Ovis aries: one gene and its partner. The protein of the gene in region 2 interacts with the protein of the main gene of each other region in a pairwise test. Links are inferred from orthologs where the notes say so. Each region holds a gene or a part of one and is shown on either strand. Other genes may lie near its edges.

Evidence for each region.
Region 1: the proteins of TK1 (region 2) and PTPRK interact in a two-hybrid assay, tested with the Homo sapiens proteins (2 studies listed by BioGRID and IntAct). The link is inferred for Ovis aries from reciprocal best matches to the Homo sapiens genes TK1 and PTPRK.

What each region holds. Positions count from the first base shown.
Region 1 is NC_056061.1:54,095,527-54,099,614, forward strand, and holds the start of PTPRK (receptor-type tyrosine-protein phosphatase kappa), read right to left. Parts: upstream 2,821-4,088; 5' UTR 2,579-2,820; coding exon 2,482-2,578; intron 1-2,481. UniProt on the Homo sapiens protein: Regulation of processes involving cell contact and adhesion such as growth control, tumor invasion, and metastasis. Negative regulator of EGFR signaling pathway. Forms complexes with beta-catenin and gamma-catenin/plakoglobin.
Region 2 is NC_056064.1:53,319,785-53,323,437, reverse strand, and holds the end of TK1 (thymidine kinase, cytosolic), read right to left. Parts: intron 2,176-3,653; coding exon 2,086-2,175; intron 1,792-2,085; coding exon 1,672-1,791; intron 1,491-1,671; coding exon 1,287-1,490; 3' UTR 551-1,286; downstream 1-550. UniProt on the Homo sapiens protein: Cell-cycle-regulated enzyme of importance in nucleotide metabolism. Catalyzes the first enzymatic step in the salvage pathway converting thymidine into thymidine monophosphate.

The DNA.
Region 1 (4,088 bases), on a different chromosome or scaffold from region 2:
ATTTTTAAAATATATTTAACAGGATAGCTTATAATTCTGAACATGTATTTGTTTTACACTTTAAAAGCATTTTTATTTAAATTTCTTGAATGAAATAAAAGTTCATCATTTAAAGTAGAAGGTAAGAAAAAAATGCAACAAAGAATACACTTCCAATCTCTGACTCTATGTTTTTGCAACAAATCTGATTGCCATAAAATCTGATGACCGTGGAATAACAAATGACTTAGGAGAGGCAGAAAATAGAAATTTTTTTAAAAAACAAATTTTTAATTTATGGAGAAAGGCAGATCCACAGTCTGAACTCTGGGAATAAAAGGCATTCCTTTCTGGGCATATAGACAAATCCTGAATGGCAAAATTTTGAGATATAGTCCTGCCAGAATTGTATTTACTAGGATTGCACATTCTTTTACTTAAATATGAAGTCAAATGTTTTGCTTTGTCAATAAAGAAAAGCCAGGCTTAAATTACTTAAAACTGGGCGTCTAAGAACACAACTGTTCATTACAGATACCTGAACTCCAAGGATCAGAAAAGCTCATCTATACATTCTGCTGGAGGAAATCTAATATTTATTTGGTCAGTAAAGGGTAAATAACATATGAAACGAGAAAAAGGGAAAGTTTCTTCACTGATAAAAACATATCCATCAGCTGTTCAAACATTAATAGTTGCAAATTTGGAATACATGTAAGTTTCATCATGCAACTGGTAGAATTCCAACTTTCAATTAACAAACTACATGGCTTTTCAAGGGTAAGCTCTGCGTGCACTGACAAACACTGTGCAGAAATCAATACCCACTTCCAACTTGCCTACATACAACGTCTTCCATCAAGCACGCTTCCAATACTAACCAGCACTACCTGTCAGAGACGCTTGCACTAATGCTTACTCCAGAAAGAATTAAAATTAAGCTATCGGTTCACTCATTGCACAGAGCTGTAGTCCTCTGCAAACATCACCTGTATACATAACTTTCCGTGTACTCGCTGCATTTCGTAATCCTGAGTACATATCACATGCTGCCATCTGAATCTGTTGTCCAACTCCTTTTATAGTTCTAAAAGGGGGCGGGAGAGGGGAAAGAGGACGCAAGGGAAATAAACATTACTCCGGAAACCAACAATCTGAGTTTATTTCCAGGAAACCAGGCAGCCACAACAACGAGAGAAACCGACAGTGCAAAGTTCGTCCGTTCTCCGCGTCCCACGGCCTCAGCCAGGAACGCGGCTGCCGCTTCCCGCGTCTTCTGCAGCTCTCCTCGGCCACCTCTGCGTCTCCATCTGCACTGAGAACCAAGGCAGCAGACGCGCTCGCCAGCCAAGCTGAGCAGGGCGGACTGGCCAGAAAAGTTGTCTGGACCGGCGGGAGGCAGACGATTGCCCGCGAGCCTGCTCCCCAGCGTCCACCTGGTGAAACTTCAGAGCCCCCAGAGGAGAGAACGAAAGAAACCACCGACAGGAAGGATGACAAAACTGGCAGGGAACGGAGGACGAGACTGGGCGAAACGCGGTTTTACTGACATGTCGAAGTGGTTTTACTAGAACCCAAAAGGGCTAACTGGCGAGACCTCACTGCATGCCTCCTTTGGGGTCCTCTTGGCGGCGGGCGGCAGTCGTTCACAGCCCCCAGCAGGCAGGCCGGCTCCGGGAGGAGCTGCGCCAGCTTCGCGGTGGCTCTGCCGGAGGAACGGGCTCCCAACCCCCGCGGGTCAGGCTTCCCCGACCCGGCGCCCAAACCTCGCTGCCCAGAACCGCTCGGTGTGGATCCTCAGAATCGTGTTTCAAAACATCCTACAGGCTCTGCCAACACACACAAGGAACCTGCTCCTCGCGGTGCCCTAACCCACGGGGCGAGCCCAACGAGCAGCCCCGCGCTAGAGAACGAGAAAAGGACTGGGGGAGGGACGGGGAAGTAGTTAGACAATAGTCAGGGGAGGTTATTCCCGGGACAAAAAGCACCTGGCAAAGCGCGCCGAGGTCGGTCTCTTCGAGTCTCCACCTTTCTGACAATGGCTTCCCGAAGGGGGGAAAAAAAATTTTTTTTTAATGTTCTAACGGCGGAGAGCTACAAACCCGCACCACGAGCAACAGAGTAGCCGTCCCCAGAGTCGTTCACTACTTTTTCTTTCTCTCTTCCCCGGCGCGGTGCAGTCAGCGCGACACGCCGAGGCTCCGCGTTTCCCAAGAAAAGCACTGCCGCTCGCACTCCCGCACCGCCCGGCCAGCCTGCGTCCCGGGCGAGCCTCCGCTGGGAACAATGGGGCGCAACGAGGAAAGTTACCTGCGCCACGGAGCCCATTCGGGCGCCCCGCGTCCCACCTGGCACAAAGTCGGGGGACCTCTCTCCCTCTGCCCGTTCCCCCCGCCCCGCAAACCTCTGCCTACGGTCCTGGAGAGGAGCCCGATCCCTCCCTGGGCAAGCCCCAGGTCGGGGGCACTTTTCGGGGCTCCAGACGCCCCTTCGGCCACTCACCTGCGGAGAACTGGCCTTGGGCCGACCCCAGGAGCGGCCACGGGGAAAGAAGCAAGAGCGCCACAAAAGCGGGCAGCGCCGCCGCCGCCGTATCCATGTCGACTTTGGGAGAAGTTTCAAGCGGCTCTGCAAAGAGCTGCCCGGAGGCTTGCAGCGAAACCCACCGCTGAGGGGCCGGCCGGGCCTGGCGGGGTGAGCGCCGGGAGTGGACAGCCGCGCGCCCGCACTTTTTCCTGCTCGGCGGGAGCCAAACTACCTCTGGGGCGCCAGCGTCGCCCGCGTCGCCGGCCGGCCGCGGCGGCTGCTCTCCATGCTCGGCAGAGGCTGCTCCTGTTAGTCAAGAGTTACTTTGCTCGGGGAGGGATGGGGGCGGAGCCGGGGGTGACGTCGCCCCGCGGGCTCCGGGCGCTTCTGAGGAATGCAGGCTCGGGCGCGGCGCCGCCGCCGCCTCCTGCCGGAGAGACACGCGCCAACCCCGGCCGCGCGCCCCGCGCCCCGCGCTCCGCGCCGCCTTTGTTCGCCGCCCGAGCCCGGCCGTCCGCCGCCGCTCGCGAGTAGCTGGCGGGAAAGAGGACCCGCGCCGCTGGCTGCCCTGTTACAGAAATTGCAGTTTGAGAAGCGGGAGTTGAGTGAGCAGTGTGGCCGAGCCCCATGGGGCGAGCTCAGAGACACCTCTTCGCCCACGCAGAGGCGTCTCGGGGTTCTGTCCGCAAGACAGAGGTCCCAGCGGAGCGGTGGCCGGCAAGAAGGACGAGTGTAGAAGCGCCCAGAGGAAACACCCACCTGCATCGCAAACCCTGTTCCTTATTGATGTCATAAGGAATAAGCACCCCACCCCCGTAGAAAACTTATTGTTCCTTCCTCATATAAAAATAAAACTTGAACCAAAATAAACGTTCAGTAACTTTCCAGTGTGAACAGCTGGCATGTCTTTTTTTCTGGTTTATCATTTGCCGAATATTTGGATTTACTCTCTGTTTCACTGACTTTGCTTGTACTTCTGAAACCTTCGGCCTCTTTCCACTTCTTCCCCCTGGAAGAACCTAAGAACTGCAAGGCTTATTATCCTTGCCTTTCACAGGGTCTGCTGGAGTGGGAAATGGTTTCTGTTTTGTTTTTAATATCTAAGAACTATTTAAGACGTTAATTATTTCACGAAAGAACTTAATGCGGACAATGAAAACAGCAACGAATGATTTCGTACGCAGGAAAATAATGCTACATTGTGACAGAAAAGTATTTTACAGTTTGCTGCTTCTTCAGAAGCTTGAAGCGGTTTCACCATATGCCACACTTACTTGCTTCCGTGAAAAGACTGTATAGAGTATGCTTTATTCATTTTTGTAAAATAGCAAATAAAATAGATGTGGTCACAACTGAAGAAACAAGTTTTATTCAGAATTTTGATGTCATATGCAATTCCTAGAACAATGGAATCTGTTGATTGACATCTGTCAGTTACTCAGACATCTTAGGTTTTGTAAATCAAGACAGTGTGACGTTCAATTTAATATAACATTCACACAATTTGCCAGGACACATATTCCTTTATTCAGATTAAGTATATGCAATTAAAGACCCCCTGCAATTAAAGACCCCATTCTTCC
Region 2 (3,653 bases):
GACCCCAAGTAAAAATTAATAGGGTTTGGGGATTATGGTCTGACCGTGGTACTGCACCTCTGTAACCTGCCACAAGCCAGTGAGAGGGAGAAGCTGGGGTAAGGGTGGGGAACTGGGGCCCCATCTGGAACACACAGCCCAGGCCCACCCCACCCTGGAGCACCCTCACCTTCCCATAAGCTGTCCACAGCCCGTTTCCCAAGGCACGGCAGAGCTGGTCTTCCTGGCTCCTGAACTGTCAAGTGTCTGTTTCACAAAATAAAACCTGACCTCACAGCCCCAGCTGGCAGCACAGACCAAGGCTTCATCTTTCCAACCAAGCCCCAGGCTCCTGCATCCACTCATCTTGACCTGAAACCCTCCCAGGCAGAAGAGCAGGCAAACATGCCTGTTAGAACACTTGATGCTCATATCTCAGTTAAAAAGATTTGTGGTTAAGGGGTCAGGAGTACTAGAAAAAGATTTGAAAGGAAATCCCCATACCTGAATCATGTCAGAGGTGTCTATAGTGAGACCCGGGGAATCCCAGACAGTTAAAAGAGAAATAGGCTTTTACCAACCAATAGATTTTAATATTAGTTATCAGTTCCACATACACACAGCCCCCACCTCCTTAGAAAACAAGCCCCTGGGAGCTGAGCCCCAGAGCAGGGTGAGTGTCACCCACATGGGAGAAGCTGTAATTCCGGAGAAAATGATCGCCAGATCAGGAAGGGCTTTCAGCCCCAAAGGAAATAAGAAGTCCAGCCATCCCCAGGGGCAGCCAGGAGCCCATCCCAGGCAGAGGGACCAAGTCTTTGCGTGGGAAGAGGCCCACGCTGAGCCAGAGGTGCTGGGATATGGACTTCCCAGTGAGAACAGAAACTCAACAGCAAACGCCACAAACGGGGAAGAAGCCGGCGACGCCGATGTCACAGCAGCTTGCGGCTTGGCCTCACCCCAAGAGGGATGGCTGCAGCGGCCAGACCCCGCCCCATAGGGCGGCCAGCTCCGGCTTGGGGAGACTGCGATCGCCCCGCAGCCGCCCCGCAGCCGGGATGGGAACTGAGAAAAGCTGGTGGGCAGGCAAGGAGGGAAGTGTGCAGTGCAGACCACCAGCCGCCTCCTTGGCCTGGGAAAGGGCGCAGCAGCAGGCCAACTGCTGGTGGTGAAACCTCTACCCGCCCCAACCCCGCCCCCCGCCACTTCCTCCTCCAAGAAGGCCCGGCATCCGCCAGGGGGCGACAGCGGGCGAGTGGGGGGAGCAGGTGGCGGGTGAGCGCCCGCCCCAGCGAGGGGCCAGTGCCTCAGTTGGCCTGGCTGCACTGCCGGATCTGATGAGTGGCAAACAGCTTCCGGACTCCCGCGGCCTCCGCGGGCTTTCCCAGTGTCATCGGGCAGTTCTCCTTATTTTCTTCGCTGTCCAGCACGGCGGGCTGACCCGAGGGCTTCTTGAAGTAGCACAGGCGGCACACAGAGTGGTACTTGTCTGCTCCTCCAATGACCTCGACCTGACGTGCGGTGCGACAGGAAGCGCCTGGACTGAGCGGGGCTGGGGCGCAGCGCCCCACCCCTCGCCTCTGGGAGAAGGCAGGGGGCGGCTACTTCCTTCTCCATACCCAGCCTCTAGGTGTAGGCGCCCCTCCCTGCCCCCCACCCGCCCATCCCTTGGAGAAGGCAGGGGGCAGCTACCTCCTTTTCCACGCCCAGCCTCTTGGTGTAGGCGGCCTCTCGGAAGCACTCCATGCACACCGCCGTCAGCTTGACCACGCTCTCTGCCAGGGGCACCAGGTTCAGGATGGTCCCAAAAGCCTGTACAATCCACAGAAAGAGGAGTGCACACTCATTTCGCCGGGTGGGCTTTTCCTGGAGACCCTGACTCACACCCCTGAAGCCAGGAAACTAAGCCTGGACCTTGCCTTTCCCCAGAGCACCTGCCCTAGGCAGGTGGAGTCAGGGGCACCCCAGGGAGCTGGGACTGGCTGGCCTGAGTGCCTGGGCTTAGGCATGGTGTGGGCATCAAGGGCGCCCTGGGCTGTCCATTTCTGTGCGCTGCCTGGGCCTCTGTCCCCGGTCCCACCCCAAGACCTGGACCAGACACTTCACCTTCCTCTGAAAGGTCCCATCCAGTGCAGCCACGATGACGGTCTTCCCTGAGTTGGCCATGTTCTCGCAGAACTCCACAATGTCAGGGAACTAGAGGAAAGGGTGAGAGGCGGAGGAGGGAGTGAGCTTCCGCCCTGGGCAGCCCCTTCCAGGAGCTGCAGACACGCTGCCAGGCCCAGGAGCTACAGCTACCTGCATCCACGTGGAGCTGAGAACAAGGCCGCGCCAGCCCTCCCATCTGGTACACGGCCTGCACATCCACAGCTTCCCGACTCACTCCCCCATCGCACCAACTTTCCACAGCAGAGCCAGGCTGCGCTCCAGGCTAGGCGCCTGGAACTGCCACCAGGGTGATGCAACCCAGGTGGAGAGGCCGTCTGCCACTGCAGTGGACCAAAGCTTGGATCCGCTGCCTCAGGCTTGAACCAGGTTCTCCGTTGGACCCATTAGCTGTGACCCTGGCAATGACTTCATGTTCCTGAGCCCAGGAAAAGGCAAGGAAGGCCCCTGGCGATGTTTAAGGATTAAGGACACGCAAATAATTTATTACATATGCTATCTGGCTGAGAGGCAGGCTCTGTGTGTTTGCTTTTATTTTTTTCTTCTTTTAAACATAATGTGCCGTGTGATGCCTGGAGAAGGGGCAGGAGTTCCACTGGCCACTTACAGAGCAGGATGGCTCAACACACCACCCGTGGGAAGTCCTTACTTGGTAAATCAAATTTCATTTCAAGTGGCCCAAGGGGCCACTACTTAAACAAATCCTTTGGTGACCTTTCACTGGTCAATCATCTATCTGGTCTGTGGGTTGGATGAAGTGGGGAGTTCCAGTGTTTGGGCAAAGGGTCTCTCTCCAAGCTACTCGTGGAGATGCGTAGTTACAAAACCCGAGGGCTCACCCAGACAAGGACCAGGACAGGGCTTAGAGAACCCAAACCAGTTCCAGCAGGATTCACCAAAGCCAGATCTGACTGGCCTCTGCAGGGTTTGCAGGGTTTGCAGGGTCTGCCGAGCCTGCACTATGGAAATGGCACCTCCCACCCCTAGGCTCCAGCCTGGCTCTAGGTGAGGCCCCTCCTTTTCTCTAAAGGACTTGTCACAGGTCACAGAAATGCAGCCGCTAGCCTGTAAGGACCTGTCGGCCAGTGCCCCGACCCGACCCCCATTGTCACAAACAAAACTGTTTCTAGACACTGCCAGAAATCCACGGGGAAGGTTGAGAGCAGAACCACCCTGGGAGGAGCACCTTCTTCATCTTACCTTCCCTGTCCAGACATGGTCCCTCCACACCAGGGTTTGGGGACCGCGAGGGGTCCTCCACCCTGCCTGCTACAGTGATGCCCGCGGTCAGAGAGCTCAGTTCTTCCACCTGAACTTTGCGCCCTGTTCACATGCCACCCCACTCTCTGCCCAAACACTGAACCCAGGGCCTGCAGCAGGGGTTCCTGAATGATCGAGGTACAGTCAGAGCTGCCCAGCAGGGGTTCCTGAATGATCCAAGGTACAGTCAGAGCTGCCCACGTTGTCTGCAACATCGCAGAAGGCCCACTGGTAACCAACCACCTTAC